Astyanax mexicanus: one gene and its partners. The protein of the gene in region 1 purifies or fractionates together with the protein of each later gene. This does not show direct contact. Links are inferred from orthologs where the notes say so. Each region holds a gene or a part of one and is shown in the gene's direction. Other genes may lie near its edges.

Region 1 (7,996 bases):
ACCTCCTTGGTAGAATCCAGAGAGCCCTGACATTTAAATCAAGTTAATTTTACTCCTGAGTTCTCCTTTAATATGAATCCGCTGTCACAATACTTTATTATGATTCAATATATTGCTATTGTTTAATTCTAATTTTTGGAAAACTGTCTTAACCTGAAAAAGCACATTATCATACTTATAAAATCTGTGTACTTAGGAAAAGTGCTTTTTATCCAACCAGATCGGTGAAATCTATCAACATTGGGTACAAAATTGATTGGGTGGAGTTTAAACAGAAATCGATTCAGTATTGCAAAACAAAGGACAGTGCTATTGGATTCATGGCATTACACACACACACACACACACACACACACACACACACACACCAATAAACCAACCAATTATGACCACTCCTTGTTTCTACATCCTCACCAGTTTCTCAGCTACACTGGTCCTGTAGGACACTCTGTAGCTCTTACCGACCCCACTGAGAACAGTCCTCCACCAGCATCCTGTGGGCGGAGTCATGTGCAGCAACAGATTTAGAGTGTCTTCACTCCATAATAGAGTGAAGGACAGTGAGTGGACACAGTGTTTAAAACCTCCAGCAGCACTTCTGCAGACAGTAGGTGTAGAAACAAGGGGGTGGTCATAATGTTATGCTTGGCCGATATATACTAGTGCATCACAAAATATTAGAGTATCATTGAAAAGTGACTTTATTTCAGTAATTCAGTTCAAAATGTGAAACTTATATATTATATAGATGTATTAAACACAGAGTGATCTATTTTAGGAGTTTATTTCTTGTATTGTTGATGATTATGAAGCTTACAGCCAATGAAAACCCAAAAATCAGTGTCTCAGAAAATTTGGATATACTACAAGACCAAGTGGTACTTTTGGCAGTGTCCTGCTGAAAAATGAAATCCAGAGCAGGGGGTAGCATAAAGTAGACTGTGTGTCTCTCCACTCTTCCTCCAGACTCTGCTCCCTTGATTTACAAATTAAATGTAAAATTTACTGATGATCAGTGATGGTTTGGAGAGTCATGTCTGTCATCTGCTGGTGTTGATCCACTGTGTTTTATTATCAAGTCTAAAGTCAGTGCAGTTTTGTTTTCCCACAAAATCGTACAGCACTTCATGCTTCCCTCTGCTACTGACAACTTTTTTTTTGGAGATGCAGATTTCCTTTTCCAGCAGGACTTGGCACACTGCCTACATTGCCAAAAGCACCAACTGAAATAAGAAATAAACACTTAAAATAGAACACTCTGTGTGTAACACATCTATATAATATATGAGTTTCACATTTTGATCTGAATTACTGAAATAAAGTAACTTTTCAATGATACTCAACATTTTTTGAGATGCACCTATATATGTGAGCACAAACATATATACAAGCAGTTCTCTGGCCAGTCGTGTTAAGGCTTTACTGGTTTATCAGCACAGTTATTTTGGCACAGTCTGAGCGTGTCGGTCAGCATGTTCGAGGATTTACAGGGCTCGACTCTGTAACACTGCAGTCCTGTATTAAAACCCTTCACACACTTTGACTGGGTACACACTTCTCCACACACCTGATAAATCGTCCTTTATTCTTCCATCCTCCCTTCCTCAAACACAAGCCTGATGCTAATCTATCTCTCTCTCTCTTTGTTTCTCTCTTTCTTTCTCTCTCTCTCTCTCTCTCTCTCTCTTTAGTTTTAACACACCCAGGTGTTTCTTACTCCATGCCTTGCACTAATTTTGTTCATGAATTGATCTGCTCTAAATACAGCCAGTGTGATATAAATATATATATAAATAATTTACTGTAAATAGGGTGTTGCAATGTAGTCTACTTTTCCATTTACTGTTGCAGAACTAATGCTTGATAGGGAGTTGTCTAGATAATCATTAAAAAAAACAATTGTACAGTAACCAGAAACTGCTTTGATAGGGGTTTGGACTTATGTTTCTTTTTTTTTTTCACAAAATGGTTAAATTATAATCAATGGTGGTCTTATAAATGTATGTAGTGTTATTAACAAAAACAAAATAAGAGAAACAAATATCAAATTCTGGTTGTCTTTTGTTGTTTGTTCTGACTGAGAATATTGTATCTGTCTATATTTATGCCCTCATTTAAAGCAACATTATACTACAGTGCATTCAAAAAGTCTTCACACCCTTTTAACTTTTTTTCAAGTTTTGTCATGTTAAAAAAAGAAACTGCAGCCAGTGAAACATCAGTATGACTCTGAAGGTGATCCTTTAAATCTTTTACCTTTTTTTGGCATGTGTAGTAAAATATAAAAAAAAAAATATATATATATATATATATATATATATATATATATATATATATATATATATATATATATATATATTTCCCCCATTTTCCTACATTTCATAACCCATAATGAGAAAGTGAAAATGAAAAAACTTAAACTATTTAAACTCTCTTTTACATTTTATGTTGCGGCCTAGTAATTGTCCTAATATATATACATATTATGCAGCTTGGGAATAAATAAGAGACCACGTAAAAATGATGAGTTTCTTTGATTTCACCAAATTGAAAACCTCTGGAATATGATCAAGAGGAAGATGGATGATCACAAGCCATCAAACCACCAAACTGAACTGCTTACATTTTTGCACCAGGAGTAAAGCAGCATAAAGTTATCCAAAAGCAGTGTGTAAGACTGGTGGAGGAGAACATGCCAAGATGCATGAAAACTGTGATTAAAAATGATTTCTGATCACTTAAAACTTTATGAATATGAACTTGTTTTTTTTTTTTTTGCATTATTTAAGGTCTGAAAGAAGATCTTTTTTGTTACTTCAGCTATTTTCTGTAAATAAATGCTCTAAATGAGAATATTTTTATTTGGAATTTGGGAGAAATGTTGTCTGAAGTTTATAGTATAAAACAGCAATGTTAATTTCACTTAAACCTATAAATAGCAAAATCAGAGAAACTGATTCAGAAACTGAAGTGCTCTCTTCCTTTTTTTCCAAAGCTGTATATATATTATATTTTATCATTCTGCAGAAATTAAAAACGTGAAAAAATATTATATATAAAGGAAAATCTAAAAATTCTCATGGACTCTTTGCTGTGTCACTTAAAAATGTATGTTGGTGGCTCCCATTTCTCTTGATTATGTTTGATGAGCTGTTTCTACACCTTATCTGGAATTCACCTGTGTTGAATGCAGTTGATTGGACATGATTTGGGAAGACACACCCCGGTTTATATAAAAGTTCTTACAGCTGACGGTGCATTTCAGAGTAAAACCCTTAGCGAGTCTGAGTGCTCATGTCCATATGAAATTGAAGTTTTTGTTTTAAATACATTTGCAAATATATCTTAATATATATTAATATGAATTTGAATAACATTGTTAAGAATTTAATGCAACACTGTGGTCGGAACGCTGCTACAGCACTATATAACTATATAATATGGTGGAGCTGCATTTTTCTTTATAAATCATTGATTGTTGGGATCAGCAATTTCAGTTAAAAATATCATATATCAGATGAAAACAGTGATATTTGAGAAGTGAAATGAAGTTTATAGGATTTACAGAAAGTGTACAATAATTCTTTGAGCTAAATTAGGCAGGTGCATAAATTTGGGCACCTTGTCGTTTTATCCATTTGAATAACTTTAGCACTAATTATTGGAACACAAAAAATTGTTTGGTAAGCTAATTTACCTTTGACCTACATTCACACAGGTGAATCCAATTATGAGAATAGGTTAAGGAGCCAACTGCAAGTTTTTCTTCTCTGTGCATCTTCTCTAAAGAGCGACAATATGGGAGCCTTAAATAAAACTCTCAAATTACCTGAAAATTAAAATTGTTTAACATCATGGTTTAGAGGAAGGATATAAAAAGCTCAAATCTCAGAGATTTCAGCTGCAGTTTCCACTGTGAGGAACAGAGTGAGGAAATGGAAGAACCACAGGTACAGTTCTAGTTAAGACCTAAAGTGGCAGAACAAGAAAAATCTCAGATAATCTGAGGAGAAGGATGGTGAGAACAGTCATAGTCAAGCCACAGACCTCCAGAACAGCTCCAAACACCTACAACATCAGCTTACTGCAGATGGAGTCACCGTTCACTATTTACTATTAAGCTCACTTTACACAAGGAGAGGCTGTATGGGAGAGAAATGCAGAAGAAGCCTTTTCTGCGCCACAAACAGAGTCGCTTGAGGTATGCTAAAGCTAAAGCACATTTTGACAAGCCAGCTTCATTTTGGAATAAGGTGCTGTGTGTGATGAAACTAAAATTGAGTTATTTGGAGGGCTGTTATTTATGCATGGCAAAAAAAGAGCACATAATTCCAACACAAACACTTTACTGCTCCCCACAGTAACATTTGTGCCAGGTCCATCATGCTGTGGGGCTGTGTGACCAGTGCAGGTACTAGGAATCTTGTTAAAGTTGAGGTTTGCATGGATTCCAGTCAATATCAGCAGATTCTTGAGAACAATGTTCAAGAATCAGTGAGAAAGTTGAAGTTTGAAGCACTGGGGCTGGATACTTCAACAAGACAACGACCCTAAACACTAAACACTAAACACTGCTCAGAAACCTGAATCAAACCTGACTGAACTGGAGACGTTTTGTAAAGAAGAACGATCCAAAATACCTTTAACCAGAAGCCAGACTCTCATTGGAAGCTATAGCAAAAGGTTAAGAGGCTGTTATTTTTTCTGTAAAAGGAGGATCCAATAAATACTGATGTAATTTTTCTGTTGTGGTGCTCAAATTTATGCACCTGCCTAATTTAGTTTAAAGAATTATTGCACACTTTCTGTAAATCCTATAAACTTCATATGAGAGAAAATGAGAGAGAGAGAGATGAAGAGAATATGAGAGAGTTAGAGAGAGAGGGAGTGTGTGTGTGTTTGTTTACTGTCCTCGCGCGCGGATAGTAGTGGAGTGCGCGCGCTCTCTGGCGCCTCCAGCGGCCGCGCGGCGGCACTGCAATGTCAAATGAAAAACAGGGATGAACGCCATGTCTGATTCCGTCGCGCGGAGCTAAAGAACGCGCCGCGCCGCGTCGACGGAGAAAGCCCGCGAGCAGCCCGCGGTAACCCCGCTCGGAGGAACCCCGTGCCCCCCTCCCGCTCCTCTCCCTCCGTCCCCACCGACCGCGGGCGGGGGCCCCGGAGCGCGGGATGGCGGAGAGCGGGGCCGTCGCCCAGGGCTCCCCGGCCGTGGGCGCTGCTGGCTCGGCTCCGGCGGCTCCGGGGGTCGCGGGAGCTGAGGGTTCCGGGGCGGCGGTGGGGTCCGCGCGGATCGCGCTGAAGAAGGCGCAGCTGCGCTCCTCCCCGCGCGCGAAGAAGCTGGAGAAACTCGCGGTGTACTCCTCGTGCAAGGTACGGACGGGGAGCTCGAGCGCTAGCGGTGCTCTTGTTATTTTTGTCGTGCACTCTCTTTTGCGCACTCCGAAATGTGCTGAGCGCAGCGCGCGAGCAGCAGCAGGTCGCGCACACGGCGTCCCGCTCGCATGTATATGCATGCATGTATATATATTTAGTGCACGGGTTAGAGCTCGTGACTGTGCACATGCATGGGTGTGTGTGCGTGCATTCGTGCACGGGAAGCTCGAGACCGAAGTTTGTTATGAAACGCGATCCACAGTGAATATGATCGCGGGGAGGCTCGAGCGCCGTCTTTGTTTTGACAGGATGACAGCTGAACCCGGGGGGCGGGGCTTACGACTGAAGGGGTGCGCGCGCTGCTCTGTGTTTTGTTTGGGTTTTTTTTCTTTAACTTTAACAGCTAAATGTTTAATGCTATTCAATAACTTGAGTTTTATTATTTTTTGTTGTTTGTCAGAACTCGTTTTATGGAATAAAGCATTTGAATTGTTAAAGTGGTTGCAACACAAACAATTAGAAAAAGAAATAAATGCACTTTTTTGACCATCATATTTTTTAGTAAAAAGTCTTGAATTGTGAGCAGTTTCAAGAATCTGCAGATAAGGTCATTCAATTCATTAAATTAATGAACTATTTTTATTACTGAAGAGATCAATGAAATAAGTGTAAATTAAAATACTGTAGAGGATAGACATTGGCAATTTAAACAGAAACATTTGCATAACATTATAGTAAGTTTTTCCTAATAATGTCCTACTTGTACCTCTAAAATGTGTTTAAGGCCAAAATATATTTTTAAAACTAAAAACTAAAAGAATAAATTAATTGCTGTTACTGAAGTGTCGGTTGTAACTTTTACACTTGATATTTACAACTGTATTTACTCGATAAGAACAATATTAAGTACAAATAAAATACAAATGAAATAAAATAAGTTAATTCTATGTATATCTAATACTTTATTGTATTATGTAATATTTGGAATTGTCATTTTATAATATATATATATATATATATATATATATATATATATATATATATATATATATATTTTTTTTTTTTTTTATATATATATATATATTTTATTTTTTTTTTGTATTCCGCAGGCTGAGGGAGCCTGTAAGTGTAATGGCTGGAAGAGTCAGAACCCACCTCCAACTCCGCCCCCCCCAACCCCTCCCAGGGCAGAGCAGCCAATCGCTGTTAATCTACTGGAGCCCTGCAGGAGCTGCAGTCATCCCTTAGGTAACCCTGTGTGTGTGTGTGTGAAAATGATTGGTATTTTCTGAGAGGAGTGGATCGCTCTCTGAACTTCTCCTCTTTCACTGGGCAGGAGATCATGTGACGCATCTGGAGAACGTATCAGAAGATGAGATGAACAGGTTACTGGGTATAGTGCTGGATGTGGAATACCTGTACACCTGCGTCCACAAGGAAGAAGATGCCGACACTAAACAAGTTTACTTCTCCCTGTTTAAGGTGACAAAATTCTCCTTTAGAAAATCTACATCTACATCAACATGCCACTTTTACATTCTACATTAAATAGCTTTTCAAAGAAAAGGCCGTAACGAAACTACAAAAAAAAAAAAAAAAAAAAAAAAAAAATATATATATATATATATATATATATATATATACATATATATTTCTTAAGCACTAAGTTTTTAATATCCAAACAACATGCCAACAAAAATCCAAAGACACTTAGCTTACCAGTGCTAGCAGTATTCCAATCGTGAACTTATTTCATCACTGCTTTTTTTGTCATACATTTAGCTTGCTAGCTACTTTTGGCAGTGCTATTTTAATCATAAATGTACCACAGCAATTTTAGTCATATGTGTACAGCAGCGGTACTACTCAAGGAACATGTAGCTAGTAAATTCGAATTTACAGATTAAAATATGTTAGTTTAGCTAACGTTATTAATCTGGCCCTGTGCAGTTTATATCTTTGCTGGAAAACAACTGGTTTGTGAAAAGGACAGAAACTGGGTAAACTGATAACAAGTGTTATAAATGGTGCAGACCACATTATTGCTTTTAGTTAATGCAAGTAGTTGTAGAGAACACAGCATCGCTCATAGATTAGAATTGTAACCCACTATAATAAAGCAAATCTGGGTTGTGATTGTTTAGCTGCAGGGTAAAAGGTAATTTGTGGTAACGTGCAATATCACTGGCCAATACCAATACCATAACACACACAATACATATGTTTCCTACAATCTTTTAGTTTTTATGTTCTCTTCTGTTTTTCTATATATAGATTTTTATATACAGCTCTGGAAAAAGATAAGAAACCGCTTCAGTTTCTGAATCAGTTTCTCTGATTTTGCTATTTATAGGTTTATGTTTGAGTAAAATGAACATTGTTATTTTATTCTAGAAACTACAGACAACATTTCTCCCAAATTCCAAATAAAAATATTGTCATTTAGAGCATTTATTTACAGAAAAATAGATGCAAAGTTCAGACCTCAAATAATGCAAAGAAAACAAGTTCATATTCATAAAGTTTTTAGAGTTCAGAAATCAATTTTTGTTGGAATAACCCTCGTTTTTAATCACAGTTTTCTTCATGCATCTTGGCATCATGTTCTCCTCCACCAGTC
Region 2 (7,463 bases), on another chromosome or scaffold:
GCTTTTGGTAAAATGTGTTTTGGGGAGGGAGGATAAGTGCACTATAGGACTCTGTGGTGTGGCCTAAGTTTTTGTCTGTAATGCCATTGTTTCCCTTTGTATTACTTTTACTTTTATACTTTAAGTAGTTTTGAAACCAGTACTTTTACTTAAGTAAAAAGCTTCTACAAACATCTCAAAAGTATTTCTACCTGAGTAATGAAAGTGAATACTTTTGAAAACTTTGGAAATAAGCCAGTGATTTTCTGCACTGGGAGGAGTTTGGGTTGTGATGAGATGTAGTAGTTTTCAAATGGCAGGAAGAAACTCAGAGCTTGGAACAACACTAGTGCTAGCTAATGGTGCTGACATAGCACATGCCTACAGAAATGCTCTAAAACAGCTAGAAATTCTTATGTATATGTTTTACCTTTTAAATTGATTTAAAAAATTTAATTGATTGCATTTTATTGAAAATTTATGCCGACTTAATTTTAAAGTATACTTATTAGAGTATATTAGCCGAATTGCATTATATTAGTTATTTAAAACTATAATAAAGTGCCCATACCTGTTCATTAGTACATTTTTAAGAAGACATTTCAAACATGGATGGTAACCCTACATTGTATCACTCAGCTGTGATTTTTAAATTTAACCTCCACATTCTTTGGTTTCCCAGAACGATGACGAGGATGAGGAAGATGATGAAGAGGCAGAGGATAAAGAAAACAAATCGGAGAGCAGCAGCAGTGGGTCTAGCTCAGATGGTTCATCAGATTCGGACTCAGACTGAGAGGGTGACTGAGCAGAGCGTGAGCCCGCAGACTGCCAGAGAGCCTGTGAACTGAGCCATTAGTCAGAGCCATGGGCCTGCACTGCACTCCCTCCAGCCACCAGAAGGAGCTCCCTCCACTGTCACCACCACCACCACCACAACCACCACGTCCACAACCTCTTTCAGCTACCATGTCTTTCAATCTTCTTTCGCTGTTCTTTCTTTTCTTTCTTTATTTACTGTATCAATGAGCTTGTTTAAGTTTAAGAAGGAAACAGAATGAATGAGGGGAAAGTATTTTTTTTTATGCAGGTGCTTTAAAAAAAAGATGCTGGTGGTTCCATAAAGCAGTCCCTAATCATCACATTTAGTGTCTGAAGCCATTAATGTAGAATGATGTAGAATAGGGATTATATCCGTTCTGTTTCCAGTCTTTTTGTAGGGGAGTAACAGACCCACAAGCCAAAGAATCTGGATTTCTTTCGGGAGGTAAAGGGGACCAAATACTTGCACTCTTAAAAAAAATGTCTGCCCTGTTTTTCCCCATCTCCTTCTAGCCATCCTAGTCACAATCATCCTGCCTTTACAAACCTTTGTATATTTTCTTCCTCCTGCTTTCTCATTTCCGACGGTGGTGCACTTCTGCTTCTATAGGTCTTGGGTTCATAATGTGGTATCTTCAGGAACAATGGTGCGATTTTTGAATTTGAATGTCTGTCCCATTTGGTTTGTGTTAATCTACACAAGCCTAACTTGTTCATGACATGTACATAAGCCACCAACAGCTATGTTTGGTGGGATGTTTTGTTTGTGGAAGACCTGGATTCTTCAGTTTGAGGAGATGGAGTTTTAATATTTTTCAAAAAGAAAAATTTAAGAAAACTTACTTGGAGTTTTTTGTAATTAAAACCATAAAGCTTAATGAAAGAGATTATGTCCTAAAATGTTTCCTTTGGCCCAGATATGTCCAGCTTTGAGAGGAGTTCCTACCGACAACCCTGCTGCTAACTTCTCGTTAGTTATATTTAGAACTGATGTTGGTGTCCATCCGAGCTGTTTTTATTTTTCCAGTTTTTTATTTGAAGCTGCTTAGCAGGACTTTTCTTTTTTTAAAGAAAAAAAAAACAATGTTTGGTTTGTTTTACATGTCTGCTAAAAGTTTAGACTGGTTTATCTTAAATGTTTGGTTTGTTTTAATCGTCTGTTAAGAGTTTTTTGACTGGTTTCTTTTAAATATTCAATTGTAATATGAATATGGCCCACAACGCTGTGCACTTATCTCAGACAGCCTCACCAGCCATCTGCCCCCTCCATGTTTCTTTTCTCCCTCTTTTTCTCATTCCTCATCCCTCGCTCTTCATGTGTGCTTCCCCCATCTCCCCCCTTTTCACATCGTTCAACCACTGATATGACCGTTGCTGTTCTACTGAGCACCAGCTCAAGGAATGTAAAGGAATGTTGTATTTAATACAGGAGAAAATCCTTTGTTGTGTGTGCGTGTATATATATAATAAGTTTTGGGTTGCTGTTTTTTTTCCCTCCCCTTTTCCGAGGCTGTCGTTTTTGTTTTTTCTGTTTTATTTCCCCTAGACATTGTATAAAGATTTTGCTGGAGTTTAAGCTATGTGCTTTTCCACCTCTTGAATCACTGGTGGTGTCTGTTACTTGCTATGTTATTTACCCCCAACACCCAAAGGACACAGATCTTTTATCAGTGCCCTTGAAAATGAGGAAGAGGGTAAGGTCTGTCTCATGTATAAAGCTGAATGGATTTGGCAGATCTGGAAGAGCATAATGGTTATAGTGGTTATTAATGATTATAATGATATGATGGTGGTGAGGAACAAGGGAATGGGACATACACAGTCCATTTGTAGATTTGATGATAGGAATAGAAACAATGAGATCAGAGGGGATGGATTTGGTTCACTGCTGTTGTAAGGTATTTGTAAATACATCGTTTTTCCTATTCTTCTATTGTTATTATACTTAATTTTTTTTTTTTTTTTTTGTATTGAGTGAACATTGTATTTTCATTTGGCCAAGCTGTCCCCTACGTGGTTCTTGTAGTGGCCAGTGGTCTGAATTTGTCAATTGCTCTGAGGGAAAGATTTTAATTTGGTATGTTTTAGTTTTTATACCCCTCAGCTGTTTGTTTATTTGTAGAAATGGCAAAAAATAATAATTTGTACTGCTGATAATTTGGAACATTTGGATGTTTTCTATAGTCGGAGGTGTTATTCCTGGAATTTACCATTTGATCAAATAAACCTGTCTTTAGCAATTGTTTGATGGTTTTATTTCCTGCTCTCTTAAAATGGTCTGCACAAAACAAATGTGTTAATTTTTATAAAATGCTCTGCATCTGAAGCAAAAACTTTAAAAAAGTAGTTCAAAAATATTTTGAGCTTGGGGAAAAATAAGGGTCCTCCCAGGTCATAATTATGAGATGCATGATAAGTATGAAATAGTAAGTCAGGGGGTATTATCTCATAATTATGACTTACCATTTCAAAACTATAAAGTATCTCGTTATGATTTACCAACTCATAATGACCTTAGTATCTCATCATAATGACTTACCATTTTATAATTATGAATTAGAATCCCGTCATGACTTGCCATCTTATAAATTACGTAGTATCTCAATAATGACTTACCATCTTTTAATTATGACTTAGTGTCCTATAGTAATGACTTGCCTTCTTATCATTATGACTTAGTATCTTATAATAATGACTTACCATCTTATAAATATGACTTGGTATCTCATAATGACTTGCCATCTTATAATTATGATTTATAATAATGACTTACCATCTTATAATTATGACTTAGTATCTAATAATAATAATGACTTGCCTTCTTATCATTATGACTTAGTATCTTATAAAAATGGCTTACCATCTTATAAATATGACTTAGTATCTTGTAATGACATGCCATCTTGTAATTATGACTTAGTATCTTATAAATATGACAGTATGTAATAATAATGACTTACCATCTCATGATTAGGATTTAGTATTTACGTGGCATCTTATGAGTACGACTTACCATCTCATAATGACTTACTATATCATAATTTTTACTGACCATCTTATAATTGACTTAGTATCTCATAATAATGACTAACCATTTTATAACTGACTTAGTTTCTCATAATGACTTATCTCATAATTATGATTTACAATTTCATAATAATGACTTACTATCTTAAAATTGACTTACTATCTCATAATAATGACATCTCATAATAATGATTTAGTATGTCATATTTACGACTTTGCATCTCATAATTATGAAATGGGTCTTAATATTTATTGGCATCAACTTGCTGTAAAATTTCCATTTTTTTTTACAGAAAGTTATAGAAAGGTTAATGCCAGTTTGCTAGCTAGGCTAGGTTAGTTAGCTAGTTTGTAATGCTAATGCTAGCTAGCCTTCTGGCTAAAAAGTTACCCTGGCAGCCTCACATTATCTTAAGAGTAAAGAAATAAACTTTGTACATCAAACGTGTATTTTCTGGATGATTACATTTATGGTGTAAGAGTGAAAACACTTTAAAAACACCACAAAAAATATCTCTAGCAACTTTCTAGCCTGTGGCTAATCGGAGGTGCTGTTTTCCTCCAGCCTCAGGACGGAGTGTTTCCACTCAGACCGATCGATGCGCTGCTGATCGGTAGCGGACTAGTGACGCCTGGCGGGCGGCAAAATGGCTGCGTTTTATTTTCCCATATTTCTACAGTGTAAATATCCAGCGGATTTTTCAGCGGAGCGTTAATTTTTCTCGCGTCTCAGCAGCGTAGAAAAGGCCGTGTGTCTGTTGGTTTATTCCGCCCACTTGCTCCGGGGGAGCGGCGGCGGCTGCTCGTGAACCGCCCGGGAGGACTGTGGCCCGCGGGGCTGCGGGGTAGGTGCGCGATTCCCCCGTCCCTCTCTCTGCGGGGGAACCGAATAGCGTGTGTGTGTGTGTGTTTATGTGTGTGTGAGGTGAGTGTGTTGGGAAGGAGGTGGGCTCTGGCTGTGTGTGTGCACCTTGTTCCCCGCTGTGTGTGAGCTGCTTTATAGGTGTCTATAGGTGTTTATTCCCGGTGTTGTGTCGAAGGCTGCTATCTTGTCAAACCGTGCTTCCCTAGTGTTTATTTAACTGTAAAAATACAAAAGAAGCACAATATTAAAGCATGTTCATCGTAGAAGTCTATGTAGTATATATGGATATCATAAATTACTGTATCACGATAAAGTTATGTCAATGAGAGGCCATTAAAAACTGCTTTTGTACTTTTTAAGTAATAACTAGTGTATTTATTATTGTTATATATTTTTGTATTTCCATTTGCAGTTTTTATGCAATGACAGTGGGTATAGTGGTTGTTTAATGCCTCAAAAAATATTTATTAAAAAAAAAACACGAGAAATAATTAAAAAGTGTAGGTCAGCGCATGCGCAGTGCCGTTAGGAAGCACGTATCGATGAGTAGCACAACTCGACAGAACACCGGCTAAGCTAAGAAAACATGCTGTAGTGGTACAGCAACGTTAGCTACGTTACCTAGCTACTGTAAAGCTAGGTTAGCTAGCTAGATGTTAGCTATCTAGCTAACTTGCTAAGCTAGTTAACTTTCTATCCTAAACAAAACTATACAAAACTGCAGCATTCTGAATATATAGAGCTATTTTTATTTTCATATACGCGACATACATAAATCCAGCCACTGTTAATCCACTATTAATCAGCTAGAGCTAATAGGCTTCTCTCCTTCAGTCTCTACACCTCTGTTTCCTGTTGACAGCTTGGGTAACTTAGGTTAGCAAGGTTAGCCCAGCTAACTATAATATTAAATCGTTTAATACTTAACTTAAATAGTAAATATTTTACTAGCTAATAAACTTTAAGTGTACTCATAACAACTGAATTATAATTTTATTAGTTCAGTGAACAAGCTGGCTGTTTTCCAGCTCAAAACACAGATGTTGCACCACACAGATATAAACAGATAACGTTACAGCTCTGGAAAAAATAAAAGACTACTTAAAAATGACAAGTTTCTTTGATTTTACCAAATTGAAAACCTCTGGAATATAATCAAGAGGAAGCTGGATGATCACAAGCCACAAAGGCAAGCTGAACTGCTTGAATTCTTGCTCCAGGAGTTGCATAAAGTTATCCAAAAGCAGTGTGTAAGACTGGTGGAGGAGAACATGATGCCAAGATGCATGAAAACTGATTAAAAACCAGGGTTATTCCACCGAATTTTGATTTCTGAACTGAAATTTTTATGAATATGAACTTGTTTTCTTTGCATTATTTGAGGTCTGAAAGTTCTGCATCTTTTTTGTTATTTTTATTTGGAATTGCGGAGATGGGGGATGTTGTTCGTAGTTTATAGAATATAACAATGTTTGTTTTACTGAAGCATATACCTATAAATAGCAAAATCTTATTCAGAAACTGAAGTGGTCTCAATTTTTTCCAAAGCTGCATGTTTTCCTCATTTCCTCTATTCTGTTGCAGGTGGTAAGTCAAGGGTTCTAACTATGATTTAACTTATAACACATATAGTTTAGTTAGCTAAGCTACTTTAGTTAGATAAGCTACTTCAGAAGTTTCCTCATCTGTAAGAGCTGCTGGACCTGCCTGGAGAAAACTCACTGATCTAAAAGGCTGCTGCAGGTACTAAAGAGGCACTAAACCCTAAACTAAGTTATTTTCATTAATAGATTAAATGTATGCATTTAAAGTAGTGAAACATGCCAGTTCTGCTTATTTTTTTAAACCTTTCCTAACCTTTAAAAAAATGCTTTTATTTTGGTATTTTGGTCACTGCTCAGCCCAATCAGCTCGCCCTCCTGCCCAGCCCCTAAACCCATACATCACCCAGCGCTCCTCCCATTTTTTAGCATTTTTCAAATTTGGGCTGAGGGTGGAGTCAGATAAAATCAGATGGTTTAGTTACCCTTTAGATAGCACTTTGTAATAACACACTAAATATGCATTGGTAAACATTTAAAGTGTTGAAATATGGACTAGATAAGACAAGAAAAAAAAGCTTTAAATGCCACCACTCTCAGTCAAATAGTATCTGGTAAAAGAAAGCACACATGCAAACGCTAAATACCACGCACATTATTACTGTGTAATTATCCTTATAAGACTACCAGATATGACAATTTGAATTCTGTGTGGTTGTTTTTTATAGTTCAAAAGAGTTTTTTTGTCATTTGCACATGAAGGAAACGTTTCCTTATACAGTGAAATTCTTTCATTTTTTCATTTATATGTGAGCTAAATAGATGTGGCATTATGACAGTCTTCGTAGGAATAGTAATTAAATCACAAAGACTTCAATAAGTTATAACTGTATTTACATGTAATGTATTTAAATGTAAACTTGATTTTTTTTTTGTTTAAATATTTTATTGATCTGTTTTTCTGACAGTGTGGCTGCCCACCTGCTGTACCAAAGCAACTATGGCGACCCCACTACAATAGCTTTTGCAAATGAAAATGGAGGGTATGTCACTGTCAGGCCTGGATAACACCAAGCTAGAGGTATCGTTGTTGTTTTTGTTTTTTTTTTGCTATATGCTTCCTTTTTGACATTTTAGCATAAGATAAAACCAGTATATCTTCATATCTCTGGCCATCATGTTTCAGGCCTTGGCTCATGACATCTACTCAGACTTGGTGGAGGATGCCT
Region 3 (7,249 bases), on another chromosome or scaffold:
AATAACAACTTCCAACTGGCCTTGCACCAATCATTAGACACACACTGTACATGAAATGTATTTCATCCACAAGGTCCCCATCATTTACAAGTGTACACTGAGTACAATATACAATAAGAATACTCTAAAAAAATAACTTTTACTGAAAAGCCTTGAGCAAATGCTTTAAACCTTAAGTGGTGCATACGTTTTGGAAATCGGGGATTTAGAGACCTTTCTGGTGAGAATGTGTAATTGTGCAAAAGAGTACTTTTAAAACTTGTTTTAGCATGATCCCCCTTTTTACAGTTGCTTAGCTAACCAGCAATATATGCTGAATCATCTTTCAAAGGCTGTGCATTTGACCTGAGTACATCAACAGCAAGTGACAAGGCCAGACACTGTTGCGAAAAACTCCTGCCTAAACTTTCCAGATCACTCTGTTTTTAAAATGAATATATTAAAGATTATAAAGTTGCAGTGATGGCTGTGCCAGCACACTAATTCAATTTATTAAAATATTTTGTCCCCCTCCCTCACTCTGCTTCTACTAAAATACTACTGCTTCTGCTTTCAATTAAAAAAGAAGAAAAAAGGAATGCCACTTTAGACTGCCAATATCTGTTGCTGGTCCAACATCACTCAAGTACATCACATCAGTTTCCTGGCTCTTCCTCATATCACACATTGGTGCTTATGTGATTCACTTGTTGTTAAAGCTCACCTTCCGCGAAAATCCGATTTTTCTTGTTTTTTGTGGAATACAGTAGGTCTCTCCGAGTTGAATGTGTACACCTGCACATTAAACTGTTTTGCAGCCCCCATTGTCTGCAGGAGCTAAGCAAAGAAATCCCCCCTCCCCCCCCTCCGAAAAACGGGTGAATTTTGAATTATCTTTCTGCCTACGTAGGCAGAAACTCACAGACCAGCCCACCTTGGCTCGAGAAACTCCCAGAGGCGGAGCTGAAGCGACGCAACATCACCGCTCATCAGTTAGGAGGTGGGAGGCAGTGAGCGGCAGAGCGGTGGAGGGGCGTCGCAGTGCTCCTAGCCAATCAGAGGAGAGATATTTGCATGCTGTTTGCATGTATGAGTATTCATGAGCAAAGCTGGAATCCGGTCATTTTGGACACACCCCTAAAACAGTCCATTAAAAAAGAGCTATACAGAGACACCTGAGCACTTTTTTTTTTTTTACAAAAACGGCTCACATGTCATTCATTCATGCTAGAGACCACAACTAGACATTTTAAAATGAAAGAAAAAACGACGGAAGGTGACCTTTAAGGAGCACTCGTTAACAACAAATAGACAGTCTACACAAGCTTCCTTATTTCAGAAAAACTCCAGTCCTGGAGGGCCGGTATCCAGCTAAGTCTGGCAGTTGCCCTACCCAAACACACCTACTTTGCCTGGTAATGAAATGATGATTTGAATCAGGTGTGTTTGGGTTGGGCAACTAAGCCTTGCTGGAGACTGGCCCTCCAACACTGGAGCTGCACCCCCATCCTGTACAACAACCATTGTTTCTTTTTCAAACTGTCAGAAATCCTCTAACACACAGTTGTGGAATCCGGCTCTTATTCGTAGCCAGGACCTTGTGTTTGGCGCTCACAGTCAGTCTACACAGCTGTTTTATGGTAGTTAATATTCTACAGCCTAATGTTTTCCTTGCTATACCCATAAGAAGTGGACTTACTGGCTGACCAACCAACAGGGTACAAAAACTGTAAACACTGCAATTTGCAAAAATATATATGTACACTTCTGTTGCCTTATAATTTGTCTTTACAGTTGGTTTGTGTGGTTAATACTGTAATAGCAATGTTGTAAAACATATTTTGTGAACATTAAAAAGCTAAAATGCCTCTTAATAGTTAAATGAACCTTGGCTGTTAAGCCTCAATATAGTGTATATGTCCAGTAGTACTGTTATGGGAACTAATTAACAATGGTTAAAAAAATTATATTTTACATCAGTACTATATTGTATAAAACAAGTAAAATACTTCATATTTATGGAAAAAACTAAACCTCTATAATAGTAGTACTCTTCTCTTTTTCTCCATCTGTCTGTCTGTCCGTATCTATTTCTTCCTCTGTCTGTCTCCATCTGTTTTCCACAGAGCGAGGAACAGGAAGCAAAATATCTACTTTACCACAACTATATAATTCAGTCTTTCCAGCTTTAGTTAGAGTGTGACATCACCCAAAAGGAAAGCTTTCCAGACAGTCTCACTTTCTGTACTGTATATAACATCATCACAGTGTAACAGTGACAACCTTTCAGTAGAATAATTTTGCTAATTTTTCTAAATCATATTCCAAAAGTATTGGACATGACCTATTTTAGGACATAGACCTTGTAACATTCAAGGCTTCTTTTAACTGAGTGTGAATATTGATTTTGTGTCTGCCATGATGTTTGCCGAAAAACATCTTATTAAGACATGATGGATTACTGACAACAATATATTTATTTAATTGTGGGTTACATGCTCCTACAATATTATTTATTTCCTGTATTTTGTTGATTTTTGTTTATTGAGACATTCATTGCCCGTAATTAAACTTTATTCACAATGAAAACAAAAATGATTTCAAATTCTATACAAAATAATATTATAGGGGTGGATGGATTTGCCCAAACAGGATGCTGTTAAGGGTTCACAAACACTGGAATTGGCTCTGGAAATATTGAAAAAACAAGGTGAATACAGTGAAAGCACTGAAACATTAGGTTAACATTAGTTAAGACATTGGCATACAATGATATATATGTGTAATACAATTAACAATATAATCCTGAGTTAAAATGTAATGTGTTGCAGTCATTGACAGTCATTGTTTGGCATCATTATGTCAACCGTTTTTGTGACCTGTCTTTCCTATAAACTGATTTCCGCATTTGGTTGTGGATCTAAACATAAATATGAGTAATTTTACACTACTCACTAAATGAAAGATACTGATGTAGTGTGGTGTAATGGCCTGACCACAGAGTCAAACCAGGCTCTACCACAATAAAGCTAATGTTGTCACCCACACGACAACACCAACCACTAATATACCCAGCTTATATTTGCATAATGCAGTGTATATATACTATATGTTGAAATTTAGGCTGCACTTAGGCTGCATTTTAGGCTACATTTAGGCAGCACCCACTGCTGACACAGATGTTCAAATGCACACACAGTAGTATGGTAGTTCCTATAGAGAACCACTAAAATAGGATTCTCTTGAGCAGATAAAGATGAACTAATTGGCTTAATATGATGTACATGTCCAGTAGTACTCAATATATTGTATAACTAAAGTAAAATACTTAAGTTTTATGAAACATAGACTTACAAATAGACTTATAAAGACCTCCCCGGACAGTGAAGTCAGTAGAGACAGTGCCAACAAAAGCTTGAACTTATTAATACGTAATATTAATACATAATAATTGATATAATGTATCTAAAATGTATACAGTTTAGAATTGTATTAAATGACTGTAACTATACTGTAACCAGCTAACTAATTATATAAAAGAGAGTGAGATTCCATATAAACCAGTGGTGACATATAAGCAGTCATAATGAGCCAGCTGAATTCAATGAGCTGAATTATCTCCAGTGAAGGAAAAAAAACATTTAAGAATGCTGTTTTCTGTCTGAAATGCACAGAAAAGACTCTAATATTATACTATAACATCTATATAGCAAACAAATCCAATTAACTAAAATATTTAATAGTTTATTTTTATTTCCGCTGCATTAGATGCCTGTGTGTAATATTTTATTTAGTAGTAGTATTTCATATTGACATTTCTCTTTCGTGAACCGTCCCTAAACAGTAAAAAAACATGAATAAAAATTGTACTTTTAAAAATTGCTTAAAAATTCAGTGCAATGGGCGAGGCCAATTTATTGTTTAATTGGTTGATAAACTTGTTCATTTGGGTTGTTCATGGTCAGCTATCAAACTGCGTAATGTGCAACAAAACATTTAAAAATAAAAAAAATACATGATGTCCATTGTAATGAGTGCAAGGTCTGAAAGGGTTAAATACAGGTATTAGATATGTCACCCTGGTTATTAACTGGGTAATATAATGTGGAATTAAGGTCTGTAGGTGTGATATAGGTATCAGTATCTCGTGTGTGTGTGTTTGGAGCTGCAGTGTGGGGGCTTGTTTTTCGATGACGTTTGTGCAGAGCCCGGTTCTGTCTCTGTGCCAGAGGAACATGTGATTGCGCGCTCCCGTAATCATGAACGAGCCCACATAGAGAGTAGTAGTAGCGGAGCCTCAGTGAGCAGCATTAGACTGTAGCACTTAACTCTCTTTGTGCCGGGGAGAACCCCACCGCAGGAATACACACAGATGTTCTGACCTTCAGGACCACGGAGGGGCGACCTCTTGAACTCGGCTGTACAAGAGACATAGCGGAGACGTGTTAGCGGGTGTTTTTGGCCGCGTTTAGCTCGGTTTGTTGGTGTTTTTCGGGGAGGACAGGTGGCCACGTCCTTCATCCTCTCTCTTTCTCGGGTCTGGAACTAGCGTTAGCCGCTAGCCGCTGTTTTGTTGCGCCGGCGCTTCGGGAAAAAAAAAAACCTTACACACTAGGAGGTTTCACCCAGGAATGGATACTGGAGTCGCCACTGAAAAGAAAAGGTACGGCGGACGGATTTTGTATGTGTGTTATTGTGCTGTTCTGACCTGCAGACAGAGGCTGTTCCTCCTTTTCACCTTTCTGCTGCTGCTGTTAGCTGTTAGCTTAGCGGAGGCTAGCAAACAACCGTCCTCCTAGCGGAGTCGCCATTTTGTGCTTGGGGGGCGTCTGAGGCAATTTGCTGACAAGTTTACAAACAAGCGAAAAACGCCAGCACCTCAGCACTCGGACCGTCTGTAGCTGTTGAAATCTCTCCAGCGGGGACATTTTGTGTCGGTTTTATTTTGAATATACGCCGAAAACACGGGCTGCGTCTGTATCTGCGTTGGCAGCACAGACAGCGGTTCAGCTAATGCTAACGCTAACCTAGCTTAGCTTAGTTTAGCTAATAAGAAGTTGCCTTGATTTGTGTTGCGCCGGCTGGAGCTGAGTGTGTGTGTGTGTAAAAGATAAGCGACCGGATGATTTATTTTTTGTGGCTTAAAATTTGTTAACTACAAACTGAAGGTGAATGAGAGAGAGAGAGGGGTCAGCTCTAATATATATATTTATTAGAAATGTTTAATAACGGTTGGAGTAAAGTGCGTCAGCGTGGCATGGACTGACTGCTGGTGCGGAGGAGGAGGATGAGGAGTGAGTGTGTTAAAAAAGCTGCTGTTAAATAGCTTCAGATGACTTAAAACTGCAGAGTTTCTGTGTTTTTGTAAAGAAGGGATTCTCAATTGATGTGATTTGGGATTTTTAACCCTTCGTTACGTTTATTATAGCTTATAGACGTGACCTATTTTCATTCAGACCCTCAGCTGGAAACAGGTTTGCCTTTATAAAACAGTATTTTCATAGTATTAAACCTTTTTATCAGATCAGATTCATCTGACGTATATGTGGTATTTTTTATTTTTAGGTATAACCTGCACACATGTAAAAAAAAAATCAACCTCTACTCCACACTAGCTAATTGTCTCTTTTGTCAGAACATAGTAACAATATACATTACCAAACACAATTTTGGCACCTCTCTTTTCATTTAGTGGATTTTTCTTTTTTTTATGATTTTTTTATAGTGTACATTTAATATTGAAGACTGTTAAAAAAAATACCTAGGCAGAAACACGTGAAATATTTTGGAAATAATCCAGAATATGTATTATGTTTTATATATATTGTAAGTGACCACATTTGTATTTGAGGACAGATCTGCACACTCTTGGTATTTTAATCTCTATTTTTACGAGGTAGGGTCACCTGGAATAGTTTTCTCAGGGTATTGGAGCAGTTCCTAGAGGTGCTGAACAATAGTTGCTGCTTTTCCTTCACTCTGTGAAGCTCCAGCTCATCCCAAATCACCATTTCAGTTAGGTTTAGGTCAGGGGCTTGTGCAGGACAATGTGTGCTACAATGTAGAAAATAAATTGATTGAAGGAATAAAGAAACATTGATTTAGAAGATGTGTCCAAGCTTTTGACTGGTACTGTATATATTAACTTATGTTTTCATTTATTAGGACTTTCACAAAATCAATATTTAGGTCAAATTTAGCTGTTAAAGGATGCTGTTTTGCTCCTCTTTTATCATCTCTTACTCACCACAGATGTTGACGTCAATGGGATTTCCTGCTTACTTCTGTGGCAAGACATTTGCAAGAACTGTGTCAGAAAAGAAAGGATGTGTGAGGCACACTTCACTATTTCATGTCTGTTTGGGTATGCCTTTTTGTGAGGGGTTAAAGGGGATTTAAAATTTACAATGTGGTTGTCACTTTGGGGTTCACATTTGTCTGGTTGAGATGGAGTGGTTGGTGTGGTTTAAATGAAATATCACTATAAAATTGATGAATTTATTATTTGGAATATATCTTATTTTGTTTTTAAGTTGGAATGGTCAGTGAAAGGAGTGAAAAGGAGAAAGTGAAAAGAAAGTCAGTGCTGCCCCATTTCAAGGGTATCTTCCAAAAACTATGAGTATGCATAAATCTTTGAAAGCACACAGGTGTATAATTAATAATTTAAATGGTCAGTGTCCTTGTATGATCCATTCTTTGTTTAAATAACCCATACCTTTTTAAATAATTGTTTTTGTGTACACAGTTGATTGTACTGGTACTATACCAGCATATTACTAGAATTATCATTGATCAAGTATATGTGGTTTTGTATTTGTTTTCAAACGGTGGTGCAGAATCAATCCCATGGTAATCCCTCCCATAATGTCCAGGCACAGGCCAATCTGTCGGTCCTAATTTCTGTTTCAAGGCTCTTCTTAACTACTGCCCTGGTGTTATGCAACACATGCCACACTAAATGTAGCTGGACTGTCTCTGTCCAAAGCAATACAAATTATTGCTGACCTCACGTGAAGGACAGCTTCTTATTCTTAAAAATAGACACAGCGGTTAGTCTGAAAAAATGTTTTTTTTTTCCAAATTGCCAAAAAACATCTGTCTTAGATTTTTGATATGAAAATGTCATGGCTTTTTAGAAATCATGCCATGCATTTTCTTTTACAAAAAACGTGGGTATTTGTATTTTATGTACTACACAATATAATAAAAACAGATGCTGTTATTGAAACTAATTTAACACATTTTAGATGTCAGGTTTTTTTTGGTG
Region 4 (7,287 bases), on another chromosome or scaffold:
CGTTAACCTAGTAACAAACTGGCAACACCCTAGCAAGCAACACAGACACAACTGCCATTGAGCTGCAATTTATACATACATTTTCTTGGGGAAATGCACTCTCATTCTTTTTTTGGTGGTTCCCGGGTATTTATCTAGTTTGTGCTGAAATGTACTAATTGTGTTTATATTGCAGCATGATTGGAGATGCCAGTGTTATTTTTACCTGCCTCATAAAATGCATACAATCCTACATTTTTCATTTCTTTAAATAAAAATATTCACTATTAATGATTGTCTCTTTTTTTTTTCTCATGTCTTGACTAAATGTTGAATTGCTTCTTCTGAAGTCAAGGGTATTAAATGGTTCATGCAAAAAATAATGCTCTATAATGCTATATTCAGGTAGTCAGCTGACCTCATTTGTTCAGCACATACTGTTACTGAACGTAGACCTGACCAAGTGCAGCAACCCCACATCATTTGCTACCTTTTCAGCGCACACCTGGCATTAGGATTTATGGTAATAGGTTCATGTTTATCTTTTCCAGAGATTTCTATTCCATTGCCAATACTATTCTACAGAAATTAGAGAAAGTGTGTGAATTTGTACTCAATTGGTGTAGCTTTAAATAAGTAGCTGAATAATGCATTCATTAGAATGCACACATTTGCGCATAGTGTATCTAAAACCCAAGATGTGGGTCATAGAGCCTGTTTTTTCTGAAAAATACATCAGCATTTTCATTTCCAAGCGGTCGTTGAGGCACAAATCCAATTTCCGGTGGCATTCTCGTTTTACTCTGCTAAACAAGGAGTCAAAGATGAGGGCCAGTGGTCAACAAGAGACCGCAAGTAGCCTCAAACCGCCCACATTTCATCTGCACTCCCGCTGCTGGATATGAATCTGTCATACTAAAGTATTTGAAGTTTCATTCGCTGGAGGGACAGGATGTCATCTCTGCTTTAATGTTTCCACAGCTGAACAGTGAGGCCATTGAAATGATAATGCAACCTTTTCACCATCTGGATCATTTATTGTGCTCCAGCAGGGTTACTGTGATTGTGCTCAGACAGATGGCAAAGGTGGCAAATGGCTTGTCCGCCATCATTAAGCAGAGATGTAGGCTTGTGCAGAGGAAAATCATATCATTGGCATATTCTTCCTTCCCATAACTTATTAAATGATGATTATTCATCAATAATATTAGTTTCTTGTGTTGTTCATGTATACATCTTCTGGAGTGCGATATAACTGAATGTTGAACTTTTCTACAGACAGAGACTAACACAAATTTAGGTGGTACATTAATAGAACCCAGTGGAAAAGGATTGCAGTAGCAGCCTGCGCAGCTCTGATGAATTCCCTGCCCAAGGGAGTTAAGGCAGTGCTGGAAAATAATGGTGGCCACACAAAATAGACACTTTGGGCACAATTTGGCCCTTTTCACTTGTATATACTCACTTTGGTTGGCAGCAGTTTAGATATTAATGGCTGTGTTTTGAGTTATTTTGTGAGCACAGCAAATATACAGTGTTACTTGCTGTACACTGACTACTTTACATTGTATTAAAGTGTCATATCTTCATGTGAAACAGAAAAAAAATATATATATATATATTTTATGTGTTTAGAAGCTTTAGGGTGAGTCTACTCATTGAGTAAATCAATTATTTAAAGCAGTTTAAGCTCACGCAGTCATATCACACGCTGACCTTGAGTACACAGCTTATCACACACGAAGGAGGGTGTGTGACTGAAAATTGAAAAATACACTGAACAACTATAGAAGACACTTTGAATGAGACATTTTATTTCTCTCCACCATTAATCACGGTTTAGCACCTGCGAGTGATTGAACACACATTCATCAGAGACTCACAACTTTTGTGCCCATCAACAGTTTATTTTTTCTTCCTCACTGTTAGTTCTTGATATTTAATAGAATACATTGTGTTCAACTCTGTCTATAAACTTGATTATCCCCTTTTTGCTACAACCTTGTATAGCAATGAATTACACAGTTTCACTGCTATACATTTGCCTTAGATACAACTAATGCAATTAAAGAAGTTAATTCTTGAAAAACATTAAACTTTTGTATTTAAAAAAAACTGCACAATAAGACAAAGTAGTGCAAAATAAAAACTTTAAAAATAATGACTTTAAAGTGCTGCCTGTGTTTAAAATACTGTATATGTAAATAGTTTCAAAACAGTCACGTGAAATATATTCTTGCCTTTCCCCATAGCTCTTCTATTGGTCGTTGACATTGTTCACGTCACTATTTGCGTGAGCCAAGTCCCAAGACTTGCGATAATATTAAACACGGTTGATTAATCAGGCGAACCCGACTGATTAAACTTCCAACCACCTTAGGATAGAGATGACGCCACCGCAACTCGACCGCAACTTTTCTCTAGCCAGACTCTCCAGATTTTTTCCCGACTTTGGAAATTTGTCTGCGACTGTGAAAACGTTTAAAAATAGTTAGGTGTAAGACCGGCATTAGTCTGTGGGAGGCAGTGGTAGCCAAATTAAGAAGGATAAACACTTTAGAAACTTTAGAGTAAACAGATAAAGTGCCTGTATTGTGACGGCATCCCTAGGGATAGGGGCGTGGCCACCGTGACAGGGCAGTCAGAAAACCCACAGATACACGGACACAGGGAGTGAATGAACTCAAAACGTACCTTTATTTAGGTTCAAATGCCTAGTGATGGGTCTGACGACCCTGAAACCTCGACACATGCGCCGAGCTGTCAAGGCGAAACCCCGTGTCGGTGCGCGTATCAAGTTAAGGAAAACCACGTGACCGATACACTTCCTGTATCGTTTGGTAGCGATGGGTCTGACGACACTGAAACTTCAGCGCATGCACCGAGCAAACAAGGCGAACCCCTGTGTCAGACCGCGTATCATTTTAAGGAAAACCACGTGACCGATGCATTTCTTCGCGCAGTTGCTTGCAATGACTTTCTTAGTCCAGCAGATGTCGCCATTAAGTGATACAGCAACACAGTTTCAACACAGTGTCGATACAGTTTGGGAAATGTGCCATACACCCAATGAGGCTTCATCTGCCCATCACTACAAATGCCCTCCACTAACACCCAAAACAACTCAAAACATAACTACACTGGCCCAGAGGGGCTCTACTCGCTGAACTTGTGATTGCCAGTCTTTTAAGGGTCTATCCTGCCGCAGCCTTCCTCTCACCTGTAGCACCTCTCAGAGTGGGGACTGAATCCGAGTCTTTATGCCGGAGTTCCAGCTGCTGCTCAATCAGTCCTGATTCAGATCAGCTGGGACCGGCAGGGACTGCGCGTCATGGCGTGGGACGGACCCACTGCTCCCCCCGCCCGTCACAGTATGTAAAACCGCAATAAAACTGTAATTCGAATTAACCGAATTAATTGTGAAAATCACCCATCACTAGTTCATATCCAGAGGCGTTTTACATCAAATCATCAAATCAAATTTATTTGTATAGCACATTTTATAACTGATGTGCTCACAAAGCAGCTTTCTGCATTTATTTTTTTATTCATTTATAAATAAATACATAAAGGTATTAATTTATTTATTTGTGCATTTATTTATTTATATTTGTCATTTTGCCATTCCCCCTATAATTTCTTCACATTGACGCCCAACAACGCAGCGACCTCAAATGGCCGTTTATTGTACTTACAACCCCAACCAGCCAGCCTAAATGCAGAATGTTGACTACTATATAAAGCCCCATATAAAGAAGCATAATATAACAAATATGATAGAAGCTGCTCATTATAGCTGTGTGGTGTATTTAAAAAAAATGAATAAGTAGAGTCCAGTATTTAAAACAGAATTAATTGCGTGCGTAAATTAAAATTCTCTTTATACTGCAAAATGTTTAGTTACCTTTTTAAAGGAATAGCGGTCTAAGTGTTAAAAGTCAGGTTTTGCATTTTTAGAAATCAAAATAGGGATGAAATGGAAACATTAAAATAGCTTAAAAACATAATTTGTAAGCTCTTAATACATGGGAAAACGAAAGAAAAGAAAGACCTTCGTTTTCGATGGTCTTCTGACTACTACCAAATTTGCAGTGTCCTTCCGCGCAGGACTATACCGCTGTACTGTAAAAAACGACAAAACAATAGAAGAGCGCACAATTAGATCCTACATAATGTGTTTATTAGTAAGAAGTTAACATAGCTATATCACATATCATGCTTGTTGTTTTTAAATGCAAGAAATATATGATTATAATTAGTAAACAGATTATCATAGCTTGGCGCGGTGTTGCTTAGATCCCTCCGCCGGGTTTGAGTCGGTGCGAGCTGAAGCAGAGCTAGAACTCCTTCCCTCTTTTTCCATCTGCTGTAAGTCTTTAATGCGCGTATTGCGTTTTATTCGCTTTATTTGGGGGGATTTTGTGTTTATATGATACGCAGGTGTGTGTGAGTGGCTGAAGCCGAGATGTGCGCTGGCTTTGGGATACTGGTGGAGGTTAAATACTGCTAGTTGTGTTGGTGGGAAGGACATGACTGTAGTAACGGTGTTCTGTCGAGTTGTGCTACTTTGTCAAATCGTGCTACCCTAGCGTATTTACCTGTAAAAATACAAAAGGAGTGGAAGTCCCAGTAGATGTAGCTAGTATATTTGGATAGCATGAATCACTGTATCATGGTAAAGATACGGCAATGGGAGGTTATTAATTACATTTTGATTTTGTATTTACATTTTTAATAATAATAATTGTATTTGTTATTATTATTATTATTATTATTATTATTATTATTATTATTAAACATTTACATTTATACTTTGTGCAATGAGTCAGTCCGAGCTATTTAATACACAAATAACAGATTTATTATCAACGACAACAACAACAAAAAAATTAAATAGTCGGTCAGCGCATGCGCAGTGCATTTAGGAAGCACGTATCGATGGGTAGCGTAACTCGACAGAACACCCGGCTGTCTGTGCAGCAGGCTGGTACGCGTTTAGAGTGTGTTTACTAAGGGATTGCGGATTCAAAACTGAGATATAAAGGTTGGAATGATGGGGGTGTGAAAGTCTGTAAACTCTAATATATATTCTATTGAGTTCTGTTATAAGTTCGTGTATTAAATATAAGATATCCTGGCTTTTGTTTCACTGCACTAATCTCTAGCTTAGCTTAGCCTGGCTTTAACCGCAGTGATGTCATCTGCGCGCGTCGGACTGCAGTAGGCGTGCATCTGTAGTAACGTTAGCTTAGCTTAGCCTAGCCTAGCTTAGCATAGCACTGTCTGCGATTTGGCGCGCCGGCTGCGCTGGAAAACTGCAGATAAAGTTGCTGTAAGTGCGCAGACGGATATCCAGCCGGCGTCTTCAGTGGCGGTTGTGTGTAAGTTTGTGAAAAGAGGTGAATTTGCTGTATTAGCTAAATTATCCTGTGTTTATTATTATTATAAGCTCCAGTGCTCTGCAGTGTGTAGTTAGCTAGCTAGCATAGCATAGCTAGCTTAGGGTCCTACCGTGCTGTTTTCGACAACGCCTTCTTTATGCTGATAGTTCGCCGCATATAACCTTATTTTTGGCTGCATATAGAAGCTACACTGGTTATACATATCTGTGTGTGTAATTTAATCGTTTAAAGTTTTTTAAGCTAAATATTTGTGTTTACTTTTCAGCACACAGCTTAAATATTATTATAGTCAGCTAGCTGAAGGTGCAGGGAAACCTATTGATGCATAAGCTAGGCGTACTGCAGTTGTTTACCCCACAGAATGTTTAACCCACAGTTCACATCCCATAATTCTGTCATATGGAATATTATAATATGTTTTTGCTGAATGTAAGATCTTAATTTATAGTAAAACTGTATTTTATTATCTTGATATACAGCTCTGGAAAAAAAATATGAGACCAGTTTTTCAATCAGTTTCTCTGATTTAGCTATTTATAGGTATATGTTTGAGTAAAATTAACATTGTTGTTTTATTCTATTAACTACAAACAACATTTCTCCCAAATTCCAAATTAAATATTGTCTTGGAGAGAATTGGTTTGCAGAAAATGAGAAGTGGCTGAAATAACAAAAAGGATGCAGAGCTTTCAGACCTCAAATAATGCAAAGAAAACATGTTCATATTCATAACGTTTTAATCGTTAGATATTATCAATTTTTAGTGTAACAACCCTGTTTTTTAATCACAGTTTTCATGCATGTTCAGGCATTTTCTCCTTCACCAGTTTTACACACTGCTTTTGGATAAGTTTATGCCACTCCTGGTGCAAAAATTCAAGCATTTCAGCTTGGTTTTATGATTTTTTGTCATCCAGCTACCTCTTGATTATATTCCAGAGGTTTAATTTGGTAAAATCATAGAAACTCATCATTTATCATTTATAAGTGGTCTCGTATTTTTTTTTCCAGAGCTGTATACATTGTTGTTTGATGGTTTTGGCTGTAGTGGTAAGTTTCTATCTTGTAAGCTCCCTAGACCTACAGACCTTTCTAATGAACACTTATAACTTATAACTAATGAACAATTATAACATTAACTACAATACGAAGAACGTTTGTGTAAAGGGTTTGTAAGTTAGTGCTGTTCACTTAAGTCTGCACGTTTTATTTTTAATTTACTGAGACAACAAACATACCATGTGCTCTGCCTACACTATTACTCCATGATTTATACCTTATAAACACAGCACTAAAGGTAAGGATATTTGTTTGGTAGATAATTTCTCTGTTGTAACAGTGTTTCTTGGTGAGAAATCTAATATTGTTGTAAAGCCTGTTCATTTCCCTTTTAAAGTAAGCCACATTTGTAAGGAACATGCATTTGTGGGATTAGATATGTAAAGAGATATATAGATAGATACTTTATTGAAGTATCTATTACTTTATTGGACAGTCTTATGGCCTGAGCAACAAAAGACTTTCGAAGTCTGTCTGTGGATAGGACTGGGTACTCCTCTCTGCCAGTGGTGTTAAGGACTCCAGCTCTAATCCACCACAAAACATCTTGTGTGCAGCAGAGTTGAATATGTGGGTTGTACCCATATAAAATTAGCCAAATATTCTCTGCCATAGCCAAACAGTTTACTCTGCTGTTGCTATTGACACTTTTTAGCTTCTGGTACCTCCAGGTGCAGCACCTGTGAAAATGGTCCCCGCTACACTGGTCAGTAGGTGTCATGCCACATTTGACTGGTCTGGATAAGGCAACTTTAGGCTGGTGTTCTGAAAAAAACAAGTTGCAACATTATTTGGAGTAAGCCTCAGTACCATCTCCAAACTGAAGGCCAAGTTCCATATAATGGGG

Evidence for each region.
Region 2: the proteins of kat2b (region 1) and atxn7l3a purify together in Homo sapiens (affinity purification with mass spectrometry; 5 studies listed by BioGRID and IntAct, counting the BioPlex papers as one, with this or other methods). This does not show direct contact. The link is inferred for Astyanax mexicanus from reciprocal best matches to the Homo sapiens genes KAT2B and ATXN7L3.
Region 3: the proteins of kat2b (region 1) and hif1ab purify together in Homo sapiens (affinity purification with western blotting; 4 studies listed by BioGRID and IntAct, with this or other methods). This does not show direct contact. The link is inferred for Astyanax mexicanus from reciprocal best matches to the Homo sapiens genes KAT2B and HIF1A.
Region 4: the proteins of kat2b (region 1) and transformation/transcription domain-associated protein purify together in Homo sapiens (affinity purification with mass spectrometry; 5 studies listed by BioGRID and IntAct, with this or other methods). This does not show direct contact. The link is inferred for Astyanax mexicanus from reciprocal best matches to the Homo sapiens genes KAT2B and TRRAP.

The regions. Positions count from the first base shown.
Region 1 is NC_064410.1:61,521,309-61,529,304, reverse strand, and holds the start of kat2b (histone acetyltransferase KAT2B), read left to right. Parts: upstream 1-4,982; 5' UTR 4,983-5,172; coding exon 5,173-5,373; intron 5,374-6,485; coding exon 6,486-6,624; intron 6,625-6,712; coding exon 6,713-6,858; intron 6,859-7,996. UniProt on the Homo sapiens protein: Functions as a histone acetyltransferase (HAT) to promote transcriptional activation. Has significant histone acetyltransferase activity with core histones (H3 and H4), and also with nucleosome core particles.
Region 2 is NC_064426.1:35,730,543-35,738,005, forward strand, and holds the start of atxn7l3a (ataxin-7-like protein 3), read left to right. Parts: upstream 1-4,442; 5' UTR 4,443-4,673; exon of another isoform or gene 4,674-4,677; intron 4,678-6,277; 5' UTR 6,278-6,436; intron 6,437-7,202; 5' UTR 7,203-7,264; coding exon 7,265-7,315; intron 7,316-7,420; coding exon 7,421-7,463. Other genes in the region: ubtf (nucleolar transcription factor 1), read left to right, coding at 662-775. UniProt on the Homo sapiens protein: Component of the transcription regulatory histone acetylation (HAT) complex SAGA, a multiprotein complex that activates transcription by remodeling chromatin and mediating histone acetylation and deubiquitination.
Region 3 is NC_064408.1:70,075,648-70,082,896, forward strand, and holds the start of hif1ab (hypoxia inducible factor 1 subunit alpha b), read left to right. Parts: upstream 1-4,237; 5' UTR 4,238-4,610; coding exon 4,611-4,642; intron 4,643-7,249.
Region 4 is NC_064422.1:24,991,786-24,999,072, reverse strand, and holds the start of transformation/transcription domain-associated protein, read left to right. Parts: upstream 1-4,265; 5' UTR 4,266-4,347; intron 4,348-5,220; exon of another isoform or gene 5,221-5,360; intron 5,361-7,287. UniProt on the Homo sapiens protein: Adapter protein, which is found in various multiprotein chromatin complexes with histone acetyltransferase activity (HAT), which gives a specific tag for epigenetic transcription activation.